Linked DNA regions of Oreochromis niloticus. The protein of the gene in region 1 purifies or fractionates together with the protein of each later gene. This does not show direct contact. Links are inferred from orthologs where the notes say so. Each region holds a gene or a part of one and is shown in the gene's direction. Other genes may lie near its edges. The genes, in order: acaa2 and pgd.

Region 1 (8,770 bases):
TTACTTTCATCCTTTGGAGGGGAGACAATGAAGACCTCGACTGATGTCAGTCACCAGAATCCCAACAGAAGTTTAAAGTTTTATTCTCATGTTTGTTTGCTTTGTCGCCACAGCCACCGCGGGCATGTGAAGACTACTGGAGTGAGTTTAGACACTGCAAAAGTTTAAAAAACTGCTTTCACCACTACTACACTTACGGTACCGTGCCGTCCTGCCAGCAGTGGAAAGAGGACTACCATAACTGCAGAGAGTGGGAGAAACATAGAGGCACCGAGGCTAAGGTGGAACAGCAAGAAATTAAAGTCCTAAATGGGTGACTTTGTGATCCCCTCCAGGCTGTATAAATACACTCACTGTATCTGTCTTGCAGGAGGCGTTGCGGAGAAGTGAGAAAATCCGAGTGGCAGAGCAAAGAAACTTCATTCCAGTGTGGCAGCTCAGGCAGGAGCCTCCTAGAGACTGGCACGTGCCACTGAACCAGGAGAAGCCTCAGGACTCCTGAACATCGAGTTTTGACAACATGCTGTGTTTCAGTTAAAGAGCCTGGACATTCTTGTGATCACGAGCTGTCATGAGTTGTATTCAGAGAACTGCTGTATGTAAAATGATATGTACAGTATGTCTAACAGCAGCTAGTGGTCAGCGATGAGGATTCAGCCTCTGTTTTATCAGTGAATATGATCTCTTTCCAGGCAGGCTGGTGTGTCATAGGTACTAATTCTGCAAAGCTTGTGTAAACTTAAGCACAAAGACCGACTGCACTCGGAGACTCTGTGAAAATTAGCTCTATATTATCCTTATTTTGACAGGATATATAATCAATCCATGTAATCAGTGATCTGCTTCATTCTCTTTGAAAAAGGTGAAGAGCCAGGTCTTTGCATGGTACTGGTAGGCCTATATGTATTTGTCAGCTGCTAAGCATATGAATTGACTTTAAGAAAGGTTAATTATGTAGCTCTTGATGCTGGAGTCAGGTCTATGGGATGTTTAATCTTACTGAAAAATTGACATGACAGAATCCAGAGTTGTGTAGCAGTTTTCTGCCTTATAACATGACATGTTCAAAAAGATTCTGGAAACTGGATCAATAAAAAGATGTAAATTTTTATTCGATTTCTTTCATTATTATAGACAGAAATATTAATGTGACACAAACTCACTGTAACTCTCACACAATGAATGACAATGAAGGAATAAAGACGCAGAAGCTGCATTTTTGCTTAGTGAATAACATTCAGACACACTAAACTACACAGCCATTCCTCATCTATCACTGTGTGTAAACTTTAGTGATATCGTTGTATTTCCCATCAGGAGCGTCATAATTGGGTATTGCTGGCGTATATGTGGGACCTTCGTGAACAAAGGGAATAAGAAGCGGGTCAGGCTTCAGCGCTGCCCGATACAGCTCCTCAGACTCCAGCTTCAGCTCCTCCAGTGCCTCCCTCTGTGCTTCCAAAGCCAGTTCAACAGCCTCCACTTCAGCCATGTGCTGCTTCTGCAAGAACATCAGACAGACACAACCCACTAAGTGCATGCAATGGAGAGCCAGGGTCAGATGTAACATTTTCCATAAAAGCTTTAGTGACGCAGGTGCGATAGGTAAGTGGTAACCTGTTTGTATCGACACCACTCCTTCAGCAGCAGGGCTCGACCTTCACTTTCTTCAAATGACAGCCTTGGAGCAGTGCGTTCCCTTTGAAAGAGAATTATGAACATCAATTTAAAGGACTTAAAAGCTCTATCCAAGAAAGGTATTCAAATGAGCAATTTAAAAGTTTCAAAGCTGTTTTAATGTCCCAGAGCTTCAATGCAAAAAGACTGATAAAACCATTATCTTTTTATCTTATTGTATATTTTATTCTACTGTATATAGTATTTTATTTTATTCTATTATGTACAGTTGTGTACTGTATTTATTCTTATTTTATTCTAATCTTTGCTTCATAACTTTTGCACTGTCCACTTCCTGCTGTGACAAAACAAATTTCCCACGTGTGGGACTAATAAAGGTTATCTTATCTTATCTTATGAAGACATCAGCTAACAATCACGTCTCAGAACTTCAGCCACCTTTTGCAAAGGCAATTTCTCTGTGAAAATGAGCTGTGGCTGAGGTGGTAGAGCTGGTCGTCTAGCAAAGAAGGCAAAAGGATCAGTCTGTGATTCCTCCAGTCAGCAAAATGTTCTTGGCAAATTGCCCCTAATGCACCTATTGGAGTGTGTATGAATGTTGAAAAATGCTTCGGGGTAGATAAAACTGCATCCGATGGGGTAAATGAGACCTGTAGAATTGTAGTAAAGTAGTATTTACATTATCTTGACATAGATAATGTTTGTGTTAACACTCTTGGGGCATTATTGCCAAATCCATTCTTGACCTGTGAGATGTCATGAATAATAAAACTTTTTTAAAAAGCACACAATAAGTGCTTTTGACTTTTTTTTTTCATTAGTTTGTGCAATCCAACAAAGCTGATTTAAACACATAAGATTAAAATATTTTTAAACTGATGTGGAAATCATCAGAGTTGACATCAGCTCAGATTTTCTTCACTGGCTGTGGAGCACAGCGTTCTCAAAGGATGCCGTGGTATGAGCCATGACACATTAATTTTACACATTGGATTTATAGAGCTGCTTGATCTGTTGATCAAGCAGATCTATTTAGGAATAAAATCACATTGCTTATCCGTTCTAATGATCTTCAAAAAATGCCCTGCTTCTGATGATCCATACCTGCCCAGCAGCTTTAGTTCATTTGCTGACAAGAAGAAATTTAATGTGTGTTATCATACTGAGCACTGTAAGTTAATGTTTCAATACAAATTTGACCTCATTATCTCAAATGACATTTATGCACATAGACTGAAATGAGCTCCACCTTGTTTCATCCAAGCATTTGGTTGGAGTGACGAAGTCCTCTATGGGGATAAGCTCAGGTGGAACTTTCTCCAGTTTCTTCAGCTTCTTTTTCAGGCGCTCTCTCAACATCTGTTCCCTTCTCGGGTCAACTTTCTTCTTCTTTTTTGGCTCAGCTCTTGAATAACACAGATCACACCTCTATGTTAATATATTCAGCCACAAGATAGAGCTTTGCTGAGAAGTACTGTTAGCATCACAAACCATCATAACATTGGTGGATTAAGTTTTTAATTTAAAATATTGATGAAATGACAATTGTGGTAAACCTCGGTCATGACTTGGTTTGTGAGCCTGAGCCTGAATCATACCTCAGTGGAGCAGATGTCTTCAGGGTCATCACTGGTGCAAACCAAGGACTCTGTACAAGATGGTGATGTTCTCCCAACAGAGAGCTGCAGAATAGAGTACAGGTCATTTCTCTACTAAGTTTGTATATTCTTTGAAGAAGACAGTCTTAAGAGTGCTACTATCCTTGCTGCAAATAAGATGCTTGTCTACAAACATTTTCAATCCTGGCCACTCCCAGTGAAAATTTTAACATCTTCATCTCTGTCGCCTCCGGCTCAGTCTCCTGTCTTTTTATTGATGCCACTCTCCAACTACCATCTTGTAAACCTTCTCTTTCACTTCTGTCACAAATCACCCCTGATGCTCATCTCCACCCTGCCTGCACTCTCTTTTTCCATCTCTTTTGTGCACTGTCATTTGCTTTGGATGTTTAACCCCAGGTATTTAACCATCCACCTTCACAATCTTTGCTCTTTTCAGCCTCATGAGCACAGTTGTCTGCCTCTCACTCACACACGTGTTCTGTCCTGCTTTTGATTTTCATTTCCCATCTTTCAAAGCAGACATTCACCTCTCCAAGCTCTCTTTCACCTGCTCTCTACTTTTGGTACAGATCACAATGTCGTCTGCAAATATTATAGTGCACAGAGACTCCTGACTGACCTAATCTATCCATCTTCATTGCAAACAAGAAGGGGCACAGAGCAGTTCCCTGATGCTGATCCAGGTCGAGCCCATCTGTCATTCCTACCGCACACTTCACCACTGTTTATCTGTCCTCATACATGTCCTGCACCACCCTGGTACTTCTCTTGGCACCCCATCATATGGTTTATCTAGATTCATAAATGCACAGTGAAACTTCTTCTGACCTTCTCTATACTTCTCCATCAACAGTATCAAAGCAAAGATCGCATCTGTACTCTTTCTCAGCATGAAACCATACTCTCAACAGCTACATCCCTCTGTAGTCACGACAGCTCTGCTCATCACCTTTGTTACTGAACAAGCACACTTCTTCTCTATTAAAGCACTGAATAACCTTAGCTATATTAGCTCCACACAGCTAACGCACTTCGTTCACATCGTACATCAATCACTCACCTCGACGGCATGGCCTGCCGCGATAAAACCCTGCAAAGACATCGCGAAAGAGCCAAAGACATGTTTTAATTACGTTTCCGTTTCCTCCTTTAACTCAGTTTTGGGTCCAGGACAACAAACATTCACATGTCGTCCCCTGGAGTGACAGCCCCCCACACACACGTCGCTGAAAGATGACGCTTCAAACAGGCGGGCGCACACTTCAACGTCCGCACTTTCGCTTATTTAAAAAGCTTGAAAAAAAAAAATCAGAGACAGATATTGGATATGTGATAATCCGCTAATATATTAATTAATAAAACAATAAGATAAACAGTAAAAAAAAATAGTAACATTGCGTTGTGTAGATATTTATGTGTAAATATTTTGTTGAATCTTCATGGAGGAGTAAAACGTTACCGAGCTGCAGTATTTGGGGGAAAGGTCACAGTGGTCTCAGGCTTTTATATCCTCCACGCAGCGAGATATCAGCCTAAAACTTTGATCCGGTCATCGCTGGATTGTTGAGTCTGCATCATGGCACTTCTCAGAGGTAAACAAACACCATTCAGTTCATTTCAGCAGTAAGACCTCTGGGACGGGATTTTCTGGTGGGGCGTTTGAAAGTATCTGGGTCACACTGCTGTGCAACAGTGCTTTAAAATCGACCTTTTTATTCATTTTATATGCAAAGAAGGCTCGTTTCCACATAGTTTCACTGCAATGTAGGCGAAAGGTGACAAGATGGTGGCAGTATTATTTAAACAGCTGCTCCTTCCTGCTACTCAACTCAAAACTGTAAACATGTATTTGAACATTTAATCAGAAACCTTTCACAACTTTGAGGACACCGGTTTGCTTTTGTTATGCCCACACTTTTTTGGTTTAGAAAATTACAGCTTTCAGCTGTAATATTCATGTGTGTGAATATTACAGCTGAAGGTATATGCTGTAGCATATGCTGTGATGCGTTTACCTAAGTGAAGGTGAAACCGTGCTTTAAATCTGTTTTAATTATCTGTTTAATAGATTACAAATATACATTGCATGTTCCACATACATTACTTAATTTGCATTATTGTGTTTCCTGATTTTGCTATTCGTATTTTTCCATATTATGTGTTTATATATCATCGAAAAAAAGGATAGAACATCAAAAAAGTTGGGTAGCAGTATTTCATTTGAGTTTTTCCTCATATGGCAATTACATCATGAATATGGAGTAAATGTTTAAAGAAATTATCTATAAGGACTTTGGATTACTGGTCATTGAGCCATTTTATATGCAACATATCAGCAGCTCCCAACATTTTTTCCCCCATCTTACATGCCCAGCCATTCAATCACTCCTTTGAGTTATTATTCCATTTAAACACTAAGTAATTATCCACGAAAGTATTGATAACCAAAGAGTTTCAACAGCTTGTCACTACTGTTGTCTAATTAACCACTTATGCAGTCCTCTTTAATACTTTCTGCTGCAAATTCATTGCATTATTTTATGTTTAACTTTTCTGCTTAAACCTATCAGTTTCAAAAAGGTAAACAAAATGACTAGTCAAAAAAGCTTTATAGTGGATTTATAAATAAATACATTTTTATTAATTCACAAATCTCTGAGTTTGGTCCAGTGCCCCCATTCAGAGTGGAGGGAACATATTACTCAACATTAAACAGACTCCAGCTGTATGCGTCAGGTGTTACTATAATATTTGCAAACTCAATTCTAGGTCAAAGCATCCCGCATTTCCTGACACGTAGCAGACATTAGTCGATAGTTCAGTGTCCCTCTAAAACTAAAAAAGGTCCATCAGTGCAGCATTTCAAAATAGAGATCATTCCTATTAAGGTACTGTGAACTTTAAACCCTTTTTTTTTTTCCTCTCAAAAATGTTGCTGTGACTTCCAGATCAATTTTTGGCAGATTATCAATCAGGCCCCAAATGCAGAAACAGTGAATTTAAAGAGAAAAAAAAGAACATACACCAACCTGACAGGAGCTGAGGCCCGTGCTACAAAACAGGATTTCATCTTAGCCAGGGAACCTCAGGTTTAACCCCAGGTTTTCTGCACCAAGGTGAATCTCTTACAGGGTATATTGCCAGAGTAGCTCCTGAAAACCTACTTCAGATTAGAGGACAGGTATGAAATGAAATGGCATCACTATTCCTGGAAGATTTCTCAGATCCCTGTGTGCAGATGGGTCTAAATTCCGAGTTTCAGTTTATTCCAAATTTGAATTCTGTTTTAATTTATTCTTTACTTGCTCTCAGACTGTTAAAACCTCACCAGGGCTCCAGCTGTAGTAAGTAAATATTAGCTTGAATTAATGTTTTAGTGACAGTTTTAGATTTTCTTTCAGCTGCTGCTTCAGAGGCATTTAGTCTGAGAGCAAGTAAAAATGAAAGAAACAGAATTCAGATGGAGGCTTTGTCTACATACAAATTTGAAATACACTTAGCGAGTAGGCTACAAATAGGTGAACTGTTTTAGAATCATTCATTCCTATAAATCAAATGTTCTACAAGCATGAATAAGTTACCAGCAGCCAACAGGAAGAAATAATAAAGTTACTGATCAACATGGAAACAGAAGGACCAGGATCCAGGAATGATGACAGTATTTTTTATAGAGAATTATTTTGTCACTAGGTAGCACCTGTTGATCTTTATCATGGAACATAACCTACACCAGAGCAGGTTTAGTTCCCTGCACAAAACCTAACATCTTGATCCACCGTTATAACACAAAAAACTTAGGGTAATCTTGACATTAACCAGGTAAGACAAACTCCTACTTTGCTATACAGGCCTCAGGCCTCTGTACAAAGCAACCCAAACAGATAGGAGAAAAGAAGGACAAAGCTATATATACACAGAATGAGATCACTGATGAGAAACATGCGGGAGCGGAACAAAGGCGAACACAATCACCAGCAGGTGAAAACAATGGGGGGAATCAGGGGACTGCAGACAGGATGAAAAAATGACTCACAACATGAAAGAAAACAATCCTTTAAAGTAAAATAGGAAGTAACAGAGAGGGTCATACTAACATTTAATAAGCCAAACAAGACAATTAAACAAAAGTGACCAGAATGAGACAGAGGGAAGCAGCAAATAGAAACACAGGGAAGACCGTGGCTACATGTACTCATCATAAAACCAAACATCAGAAAATACGAAGAACAAAACTCACTAGTGAACCATACATACACAGCGATGAAGGAATAAATCAAAGTCACTGTCAGGAAATAACAACAGAAACACTATAGGAGAAAACCTAAACAGGAACTTTAACTTCAACATCAACATCAACAAAGAATTGAAAACAAGAAATCAGACGCAGCTCTATTTCAACACCCTGTAAATCATGTTGCGTTAGTGCTAATTATCCCTTCACAAATCTTCTCTCTCTGTCCCCCGCTACAATCTGGCTGTAGCTCAGTGGTGGGTGGTGTTAACTCCAAACTAAAATGCTCGTTTTTTCCTAGGTGTATTTATTGTAGCTGCCAAGCGAACTCCATTTGGTACCTATGGTGGAGTACTGAAGGATCACAGTGCAACAGACTTGGCTGAACATGCAGCCAAAGCTGCCCTCGCTGCAGGGGGTGTGGTCCCAGAGCTTGTAAACAGCATCATCATAGGAAATGTCATGCAGGTACTGATCACACATACAACACTGAAAGGATTAATTATAAATGATCTGACTACTGTATCTTACATTTTGTTTCTGATCCACTTCCCTACGTTCAGAGCTCAGCTGATGCACCCTACATTGCTCGTCATGTGGGTCTGAGGTGTGGCGTACCCATCCCAGTGCCCGCTCTCACCGTGAACAGACTGTGTGGATCTGGTTTCCAGTCCATCATTAATGGCGCTCAGGTAAGCACTAAACTGATGAAAATAGTACTCTAAGACCCATAAAGGAGGGATTTTCAAAGCAGAAAACAGTGTATTGAATGTTTTCCTATCAAAATATAAACAAGAAAATTGATTTTTTTTAAAGTAGTAACAGTGACACTTAGAGAGTACTACTTTTTGCAGGGAAAAAGAAGCCCTGCAGCTTCTCTGTAAGGAGAAGAGAGAGTGAGTAAGATACAGGACAATGTAAGAGGTGGTTTCACATCAGCTTTATGATAACTCCAGGAATCTCTAAGTTTCTTACTAGGAGTGGAGATAAGTAAGGTGGGAGGCATTACCTGCCTGGTTGTGGACAGGCAGGTAATGCGAGATGGAAAGAAATCCTTGTGGTGAATGCTTGTTTGAAGGTGGCAGGTGAGCAAACTTAGGGAAGCCTTTTATTCAGCACACAATCACAGAGACACAGAGTTGAGAACACTGGAAAAAGTCAGTAGACATAACCAAAACAAGCCTGTCTACTACTTTATGATGGCAAACAGTTCAGGTGCCCCTTAAATACCAGCCACTGATGAGACCAATGAGCCACTGGTGTGCTCAGTGAGCAGCAG
Region 2 (9,000 bases), on another chromosome or scaffold:
ACTTTTCAACTCTAATAATTAGTAAGAGTATATTTCTTATCATCTATTGGTCATCTGACCTGATAAACTTCAATGAACATTATAACACAGGACTGATTGTCTCTAAAAATGGGCTCCTGCACGCTTGCAGACATTTTTCCATCACAACTTATGGATGATGAATGATTTGATTAAAGCTGTGAAAACATGATACACTTCATGCGATATTACATTCAAGCCAATTTTCTATTAAAATCAGGGACTTTTCTAACTGACCTCCGACCTTTGAGCAGTAGTGTACTGTATGCTTGTATGTAACTGTGTCTGACCTGGATTTTATCACCAGTTTCAAATAAGAATTGTCTTTAAAGTCTGTCTTTAAATACAAATGAAGTTCAACTTTAGCAAGGCTGATGGTAAACTGTCCCTAACAAGTCCACTTTATTGCGTGCTCATTGACTTTCTCCTATCAGAGCTGTTTAACAAGTCCACTTTATACATGCTTATTAATCTATCACGCTTATCAGTGGCTCATGGTTGCTTAAAGCCTATGTCTGAACTTGAGCACAGAGCCAGAGCATCATTCAATCCTACCAGCAGCTCAAGGATGACAAACTCCACTTTCTCTGCATCAAGACAGCTCATAACTTTTTAACAGTCTCTCCTGATAGTCTCATATCATCTGCTCTAATCAATAACCGTACACTATAATTACAGTGTAGACTACAGCTCAAAAGTCTGGAGTGAATTAGAAATGTCTTGTTTTCTGAATAGACTCAAATTTGGTTTCAGATTGAATCACAGCAATTAATCAAAATAATCATATAAATGCTTAATATTAACACTGATCACAGATCATGAATGATTTTGAATAGAATATCTACAGAGGTGTTCAGAGACCCATTTTCAGCAATAATCCCTCCTGTGTTCAGTGGTACATTGTCTTATCTAATGCAAGTTTAACACATTAAAAGCCAAACTTATCACTCAAAACAGCTTTTTAAGAGACTTTAGCACAAACTGAAACTATTGTGGTGATTAAAGAAAGAATAAATGTGTCTGGATCATCCCAGTTGTTGTTTTTAACCTCATTAAACCAAGTTTACATTTTCCTGTAAAGGGGCTGCAACACCCAGCTGCACAAAACCTTCACTTTTTTAACAGTTTCACTCTTTGAATATTTTTCATTTCTTACAATCAGAATTCTCCAATAGATTTTTAGAAGAAAATTATTTTCTTTCATGCATCACCAACTGAACCTTTTATGTTAAAATTTCAAGCTGCAACCTAACCTCATTTAATTTTGCTTAGCACAGCACTTTTCAACTCTAATAATTAGTAAGAGTATATTTCTTATCATCTATTGGTCATCTGACCTGATAAACTTCAATGAACATTATAACACAGGACTGATTGTCTCTAAAAATGGGCTCCAGACATTTTTGCATCACAACTTATGGATGATGAATGATTTGATTCAAGCTGTGAAAACATTACTGATACACTTCATGAGATATTACATTCAAGCCAATTTTCTATTAAAATCAGGGACTTTTCTAACTGACCTCCGACCTTTGAGCAGTAGTGTGTACTGTATGCTTGTATGTAACTGTATCTGACCTGGATTTTATCACCAGTTTCAAATAAGAATTTTCTTTAAAGTCTGTCTTTAAATACAAATGAAGTTCAACTTTATCAAGGCTGATGGTAAACTGTCCCTAACAAGTCCACTTTATTGCGTGCTCATTGACTTTCTCCTATCAGAGCTGTTTAACAAGTCCACTTTATACATGCTTATTAATCTATCACGCTTATCAGTGGCTCATGGTTGCTTAAAGCCTATGTCTGAACTTGAGCACAGAGCCAGAGCATCATTCATCCTACCAGCAGCTCAAGGATGACAAACTCCACTTTCTCTGCATCAAGACAGCTCATAACTTTTTAACAGTCTCTCCTGATAGTCTCATATCATCTGCTCTAATCAATAACCGTACACTATAATTACAATGTAGACTACAGCTCAAAAGTCTGGAGTGAATTAGAAATGTCTTGTTTTCTGAATAGACTCAAATTTGGTTTCAGATTGAATCACAGCAATTAATCAAAAATAATCATATAAATGCTTAATATTAACACTGATTACAGATCATGTATGATTTTTAATAGAATATCTACAGAGGTGTTCAGAGACCCATTTTCAGCAATAATCCCTCCTGTGTTCAGTGGTACATTGTCTTATCTAATGCAAGTTTAACACATTAAAAGCCTAACTCTGCATTCAAAACACATTTTTACAAATATTTTTATCACAAACTGAAACTATTGTGGTGATTAAAGAAAGAATAAATGTGTCTCGATCATCCCAGTTTCATACATGGGATATTTTTTGTTTCTTACAATAAAAGTTATCCAATAGGTTTTTATAATAAAATGCTGGTTAAATAACAATAATTTTGCCACATTAGTATTTGGATTAACTCCAATATATTTATATCTATATACTCCAAACCTGTGGCATACCCAGCTGTACCATCCACGAAAACTGAAGTAATTTTAAAGATTCTGTTCATCAGCAGAATAGTTTTCAGTCTTATGCTAATGTCATACCTGAAAAGTTGGTTTTCACGTAGATTATCCTTTTGACAGGAGTGTTTAATGTTTTTTCATACTCACAGTTTTTGCCTTCTGCCTTCTGGTACCTTTGTTTGATCCACCCTTTGCTCTGCCCCATCTTGTTTCCTCTCCTCTTGCGTCTGCTGACATAACGGATCCAGCTCCTTCCTTGTTTCTGCCTTGAGTTGAAATCGAAATCATTATAGAGGTAAGATAAATCAGGAAACGTCTTCAAGTTGTAAGTACTGTTAATATTTTCAGCCTTATTCTAGCCATTAAATTTACTTGATTTGAGGAGAAGGTATATTTGGTGTGACAACATAACACAGTATTAGTTTTATGCAAGATTAAATCAAAGAGTCAAATCAAAGTTAGTTAACAAAACTATTATAAAACACAGTTATGTATCACATTTTATAACTTTCTAAATGTTTCAAACTACATTTAGAAAATGCATTTAAAAAATGCATTTTGAAAAATGCAAATCTGTTTGGCAGCATCAACCAGTTTAGTCAAAATACTAGCATTTTAGTACCACAAAATAAAGTCTTAACTCTTTCAGTGCATTACTGACACCTCATTAAACTAAGAAAAATTACAAATGAAAATTATTCAGTACAAAATGAAAATACATTTAAAGAGTCTGATTAGAGCAAAAAGACTGACATTTCATCATAACTGTTTTTCCAGTGTAGCTAAATAAAAAAAGTGATTTACTTGGAAAAACAATGCTGGGGAAATAATTTTAGCCACTTCCTAACACTGTACAGGAAATCTGACAAGAAAAAGATCAGCAAAAACAGTAGATCGGTCTTACCTCTTCAAAGGTGTCCTCAGAAGTGTGATCAGACCTGCTCTCCTGCAGATATGGTGCTGTTATGCTGTACTGTCATAGCAACCAGAATTCCAAAATCCTAGTGATGTTTACTGGACAGGACCACTCTCTGGTCCTGTAACAGCAGGAATTTAACTACAAACCCTCATCGCTCCCATCAGTGTTGTTCCTTCTGCACTGCAGCAGAGGAGGATTAAAGTAGTTTAAGCACTTTTTATTCCCAAACTGCTGATTTGTGGACCCCTGTGATAAATATTTAGACCTTCATATGTTTTAGTTTGCAGGAGTGGGCTGATTAAAATGTTTAAAACCTTTATCTCCATCTCATCTCAAACATTTTACCAATATGTATAAGCAGGACCAAAAGACAGCAAGCAATCATGAAACCACATATTAACATACACTAGACTTCAGTGAACACGTTTATGTATAAATTCACACAGTTCTAGTTTTTTATTCAATTGACAGGCAGCTAAATATCTTGAATGACCATCCCTCAATATGCACTTTATAAAAGCCCTAAATCTTGATTGTGTTTATCTGGACATAATGTTTTCAATGAGAAAAGTTTCTGATGCAAGTGACTCCTTCAGTCTCTGATTTACTTACATGGATGCCTGAGCACGCATCAAGACACTCTATAAAAGCTTACAAAACATGGGTGTTTTTCCTTCTTTAACTTTTTGTGAGGGTGGATACTTTTGCCTTTATTGGATAGTGCAGCAGTAAAGGAAGTGGAGGTGACATGTAGCCAAGAGCCAGGGTCAGACTTGAACCCAGGCTGCTGGATTGTGCCATATGACCACTTGTTCAAACAGCGAGCTAAACAGGCATTATTTTGACAGTAACATAAAAATTCTGATTGTATTTCCCTCCTACACATACAAACTGAAGTCAAAGTCAAGCATAAGACATGTGTAACTTTGTCTTTTCTATGATTTTTAATGTGTACTTGCTGTTGTGCATATTAATTTTGACATTGCCCAAAACAGAAACACAAACAACTTTTATTCTGAATAAATTTGTGTGATGGCCCTTAGTCCTCCATATCCGCTTACAGGTTATTGTGACTATTTAGATTAGGGGAGTGGCCTATTTAGAGTAATATTTGTCACTGTGCTTAATTCCTTAACTGAAGGTATATAAGGAGCTCAGCAATCACTTTCTGTCTCTCTCTCTTCCAGATGATTTGTTTTCTTGGGTTTTTCTTTCTTTCTTTTTTTTTTTAAACAAACTTTGTTCACAGCACAGGAACACCCATCGACACACTCTGCACACTGGTCCTCAGTTTTTCAGATGCCATTTATTTCCATTATACAGAAGAAAAGGCAAACATTTCAAACAAAGACAGCCAGAACATCTTTCTGTGCCAGAACGTGGGAAATATAACTTAACATGACAAGAATCAATGTGTACACTATCCTCTCTTTAACTGTCTGTAATGCATTGAGCTAGTTAGCAACAGGAAAATTGACTGCATATGCACTGAAATTATTACTGATTGTGCTGTTGCATAATCTACTAAAAATATATAGGCAATTCTTCTTTTAGAAAACTTGCTGGGCGTGTAATCATTATACTGAAATCATAAAATTTAGATGTTGTGATAAGAAAAACATTTGTGCCACGCACAGCTAAACAATGGGCATATCTTCCGCATTTGTGATTAAAAGATGAAATACACAATGTACTTGTTCAGATATTCACCAGAGAAAAAGAAAAAGGGATTCATGAACTTATAGATATATAGACATATAGTCTATTGTGGCGCAAGCGCAGCTCTCAGGTCTGACGGATTTGACCGCTGCCAGTAGAAACGAGGCATCCAACTGGGAGACTGACAAGTCAAAATGATGTTCTTAAGCTATACAGTCAAGACAAGTTTGACTGTATAGCGATACTTAAAGAGGAAAATTCATTTCTGAAACAGGTCTTTCTTCAAGCAGACGTATGGCGTGCACTGACGCTTCGTGAGTGACTTCCGGGGGAGCCAACAGGAGAAGCGATAGCTCTGCTCAGAATTCTAGACCAATCAAATTTAGTCTTGGACGTGGCTTGTTTGCAGGAAGCTCTTCGATTGGTTGTTGCTCTACGTGGGCGTACCTAAGAGTCTCAGTCAAGTTTAGATGAGAACGAGGAAGTGGAAAACGAGCAAGGAGGAAATCTAAGGGAAAGGACCGGTGTGCGAGCTCGACTGTCATTTTAACACAGTTACCTTACAGTTACTTTGCCTACAGAACACAATGGCCAAGTAAGTCCTTCACTAGTTTCTTTGTTTCTTTTTCTGTTGTTTCTTTTTTGTACAAAGTCGGGGCAATAGAAAGGTTATAACTACTAGTTGAGGTTCTTTTGTTTTTCTCCTTTGCTGAGAGTAATCTTCTTTAGTAGTTAATGCTAACGGTGCTGTTATCTTGTTATCTGACCGGGGTCAGCTTTAGAGTTTAGTAAAAATATGTGTGGTGTATGCAGCATTGAATTGGGTGATGGTCGCTATGGACTCTGGGAAATTAAAGGGATCTTCGGAGTGAGGACTCTGAAGCCCATGTTTTAATTTACTTGAAATAAAAATACACTGGATGACTAGATGCATACTAGACAGAAGGCTGTTTTGATGATAATTACCCTGAAGCCAGACTATCCGATCTTCTCACCTGTGATGTGATTCTTATTTCCTCAGAGCAGACATTGCACTGATTGGTTTGGCCGTCATGGGCCAGAACCTCATCATGAACATGAATGACCACGGCTTTGTGGTAAGTTGATGCCTCCTGTGTGTGTTGCTGCTACTCCCTGCATAACCTGTTCCACTTTTTTTCACTCATTCAATATCTTTCCAACAGGTCTGCGCTTACAACCGTACCGTGTCCAAGGTGCATGACTTCCTGCAGAACGAGGCTAAGGGCTCCAAGGTGATTGGAGCAGAATCTCTGGAAGACATGGTGTCCAAGCTCAAGAAGCCCAGGAGGATCATCCTGCTGGTCAAGGCTGGACAGGCTGTGGATGACTTCATTGACAAGCTGGTGAGCAGTCAGTCCTGAATTGGGCTAAAGTTTGGAAACTGCATCCAACCTGCATATATTTATTGGGTTTGTACTACATCTGTTCATTCTCAGGTTCCTCTTCTTGAGGCTGGGGACATCATCATTGATGGTGGCAACTCTGAATACAGAGACACGACAGTAAGTCATAAACATTCACTGTGGAACAAAACCTCTTTATTCCAGAGGATATCGTCATAGCTCATGTACTTCTATCCTATAGCGGCGGTGCAAGAGTCTGAAAGAGAAGGGCCTGCTGTTTGTTGGCAGTGGAGTGAGTGGTGGAGAGGAGGGTGCACGCTATGGACCCTCACTCATGCCTGGTGGACATAAAGAGGCCTGGTAAGTCGTCAGCTTCATTTCATGTGTGTTAAAAATCAGTGAACATTCATCAATTTCAGAGTGTAAGTTATTGTTTATTTTATAGGCCATACATAAAGGACATCTTCCAGAGCATCGCTGCCAAAGTTGGAACAGGAGAGCCTTGTTGTGACTGGGTGAGTGATATATTTTTTTTATTTTTTTTTTTAATCTGCGTGTATATTTAATGTTTATTAAAGATATATTTGTTATTATTATGCCAAGTCATCTAACAAATATTGTGTGGCTTGAGCAGGTTGGCGATGAGGGTGCAGGTCATTTTGTGAAAATGGTCCATAACGGCATTGAGTATGGAGATATGCAGCTGATCTGTGAGGCCTATCACCTAATGAAGGATGTCTTGGGTATGGACCATGATGAGATGGCACAGGTGCGCTTGTTGGACTTCTATGACACCACTTTCACATTTGTCTGGCAGTATTAATTATGTAAAATATAAAGACAATATGTGTTTTTGATTTTTTGTTTTGTTTTTTAAGGCTTTTGACAGCTGGAACAAGACGGAGCTGGACTCCTTCCTGATTGAGATCACAGCCAACATCCTTAAATACAAAGACTCTGACGGTAAACATCTGCTGCCCAAAATCCGCGACAGTGCTGGACAGAAAGGCACAGGGAAGTGGACGGCCATTTCAGCCCTCGAGTACGGGACACCTGTCACACTGATCGGTAAGAGGAAGAAAGGAGGCTTAAAGCAATGAACTACTCATAAAGGCTAGTGTCATGTACCAATTCCGCAAAAGCCACTTATCAAATTACCCTTTAATGATCAGATTTCTTGGGCTTATGCTTTTGATCTGTCAGCTGGCAAACACAGCATGGGCTGTGAGCTTCTTTTAGAGAATGTGATCAATATGTTGTTGCCTGTAAGAAGCTTGAAGGCTATTCTGATGGCCTCTGCATGTCAGGTGACATAAGGGGGATTTGGCTTTGGTCTTTGCTGTGACTGTATCATAGTCTGTTTTATAAACAGACCTAAACAAGAAGCAAGCTTTATATGATTAACTTTAAAATCATGCAGGGTAAACTATATGGAAAATGTATCCAATGTACCCACAAGTGAGATTTTTTTAAATTGCTGTGTTTGCTTGTTCCCTGTCTGTGTTGCATACCCTGCTGTAATAGAGAGTGATGGGTGCAGAATAAAAGGCTTCATTGTGTGAGAACTAAGCCCATCAGGGCGAAGCAGTATGCACAGGAGGCGCTCTCACCCAGCAGGGATCACATTCCTCACTAGGACAGTTTGACTCAGTCCATTGCGTTACAGAGCAGTGCAGGTTTTAGCAAGTCATGCTGACCCAACAGGTTTTTTTTTCCTACTCTCCTCAGTTAGTGGCAAGGAAACGATCCTCTCTAATCTGGGAAACCTTGAGTTTTGTCTACTGTAGCTTTGGCACGCCTGCTTTACCAAACCCTATTGCAAACACTGCTGAGTCATGCTGTCGCTCGAGCGTTGGCTGATAGCACAGGGTCACTGTGACTGTCAGCTTGGAAATTCTATGTAATGCTTTGTCATTTTTTTGAGATTTCAGGAAACCTAAATTACTATTTAAGAAAAAAAGAAGCTGAGCAGTTAGTTTATGTGACACTCAAAGCGCTGTGTGTAGTATGTGCACTAATGCTGTCCCTCTTCTTTCCTCTCCCTTCTCTCCTCCTGTTGTCTCCCAGGGGAGGCTGTCTTTGCCAGATGTCTGTCTTCTCTAAAGGATGAGAGAGTGGAGGCCAGCCGCAGCCTGTCAGGGCCACAGGGGGTCAAATTCAGCGGCAACAAGGCTACCTTCCTAGAAGACATCAGAAAGGTGAAACACACAGTAAATGCATTTACTCTAAATGGGCCAGTTTAGAGCAGCATGCCACAGAGAGGTCAAAGTAAAAATGTCTGTGCACCCTTTGAGATTACCAGGTATCAGAAGTGATGAATAAACATTACACTTTTCAGACCTACAAGTTTTAGCTGCTTCTGTCGAATTAAACACTTTTTATAAAACAAAAAAGACTAATTACTATTGAAAAATGTGAAAGTAATATGAAAATTGTTATGTTTTCATTTGTCCAGGCCCTGTATGCGTCCAAGATCATTTCCTACGCGCAGGGATTCATGCTGCTGCGTCAGGCAGCCAAAGAGTTCGGCTGGACGCTCAACTACGGTGCGAT

What was found.
Region 2: the proteins of acaa2 (region 1) and pgd fractionate together in Homo sapiens (co-fractionation; 3 studies listed by BioGRID). This does not show direct contact. The link is inferred for Oreochromis niloticus from reciprocal best matches to the Homo sapiens genes ACAA2 and PGD.

The regions. Positions count from the first base shown.
Region 1 is NC_031977.2:25,891,018-25,899,787, forward strand, and holds the start of acaa2 (3-ketoacyl-CoA thiolase, mitochondrial), read left to right. Parts: upstream 1-4,687; 5' UTR 4,688-4,836; coding exon 4,837-4,852; intron 4,853-7,792; coding exon 7,793-7,959; intron 7,960-8,054; coding exon 8,055-8,183; intron 8,184-8,770. Other genes in the region: lg12h22orf39 (synaptic plasticity regulator PANTS), read left to right, coding at 114-281, 371-502; mrpl40 (large ribosomal subunit protein mL40), read right to left, coding at 1,274-1,501, 1,618-1,699, 2,888-3,043, 3,237-3,320, 4,321-4,382. UniProt on the Homo sapiens protein: In the production of energy from fats, this is one of the enzymes that catalyzes the last step of the mitochondrial beta-oxidation pathway, an aerobic process breaking down fatty acids into acetyl-CoA.
Region 2 is NC_031984.2:22,177,015-22,186,014, forward strand, and holds the start of pgd (6-phosphogluconate dehydrogenase, decarboxylating), read left to right. Parts: upstream 1-5,520; 5' UTR 5,521-5,670; coding exon 5,671-5,678; intron 5,679-6,104; coding exon 6,105-6,180; intron 6,181-6,267; coding exon 6,268-6,447; intron 6,448-6,540; coding exon 6,541-6,606; intron 6,607-6,688; coding exon 6,689-6,807; intron 6,808-6,892; coding exon 6,893-6,962; intron 6,963-7,081; coding exon 7,082-7,216; intron 7,217-7,325; coding exon 7,326-7,515; intron 7,516-8,514; coding exon 8,515-8,645; intron 8,646-8,902; coding exon 8,903-9,000. UniProt on the Homo sapiens protein: Catalyzes the oxidative decarboxylation of 6-phosphogluconate to ribulose 5-phosphate and CO(2), with concomitant reduction of NADP to NADPH.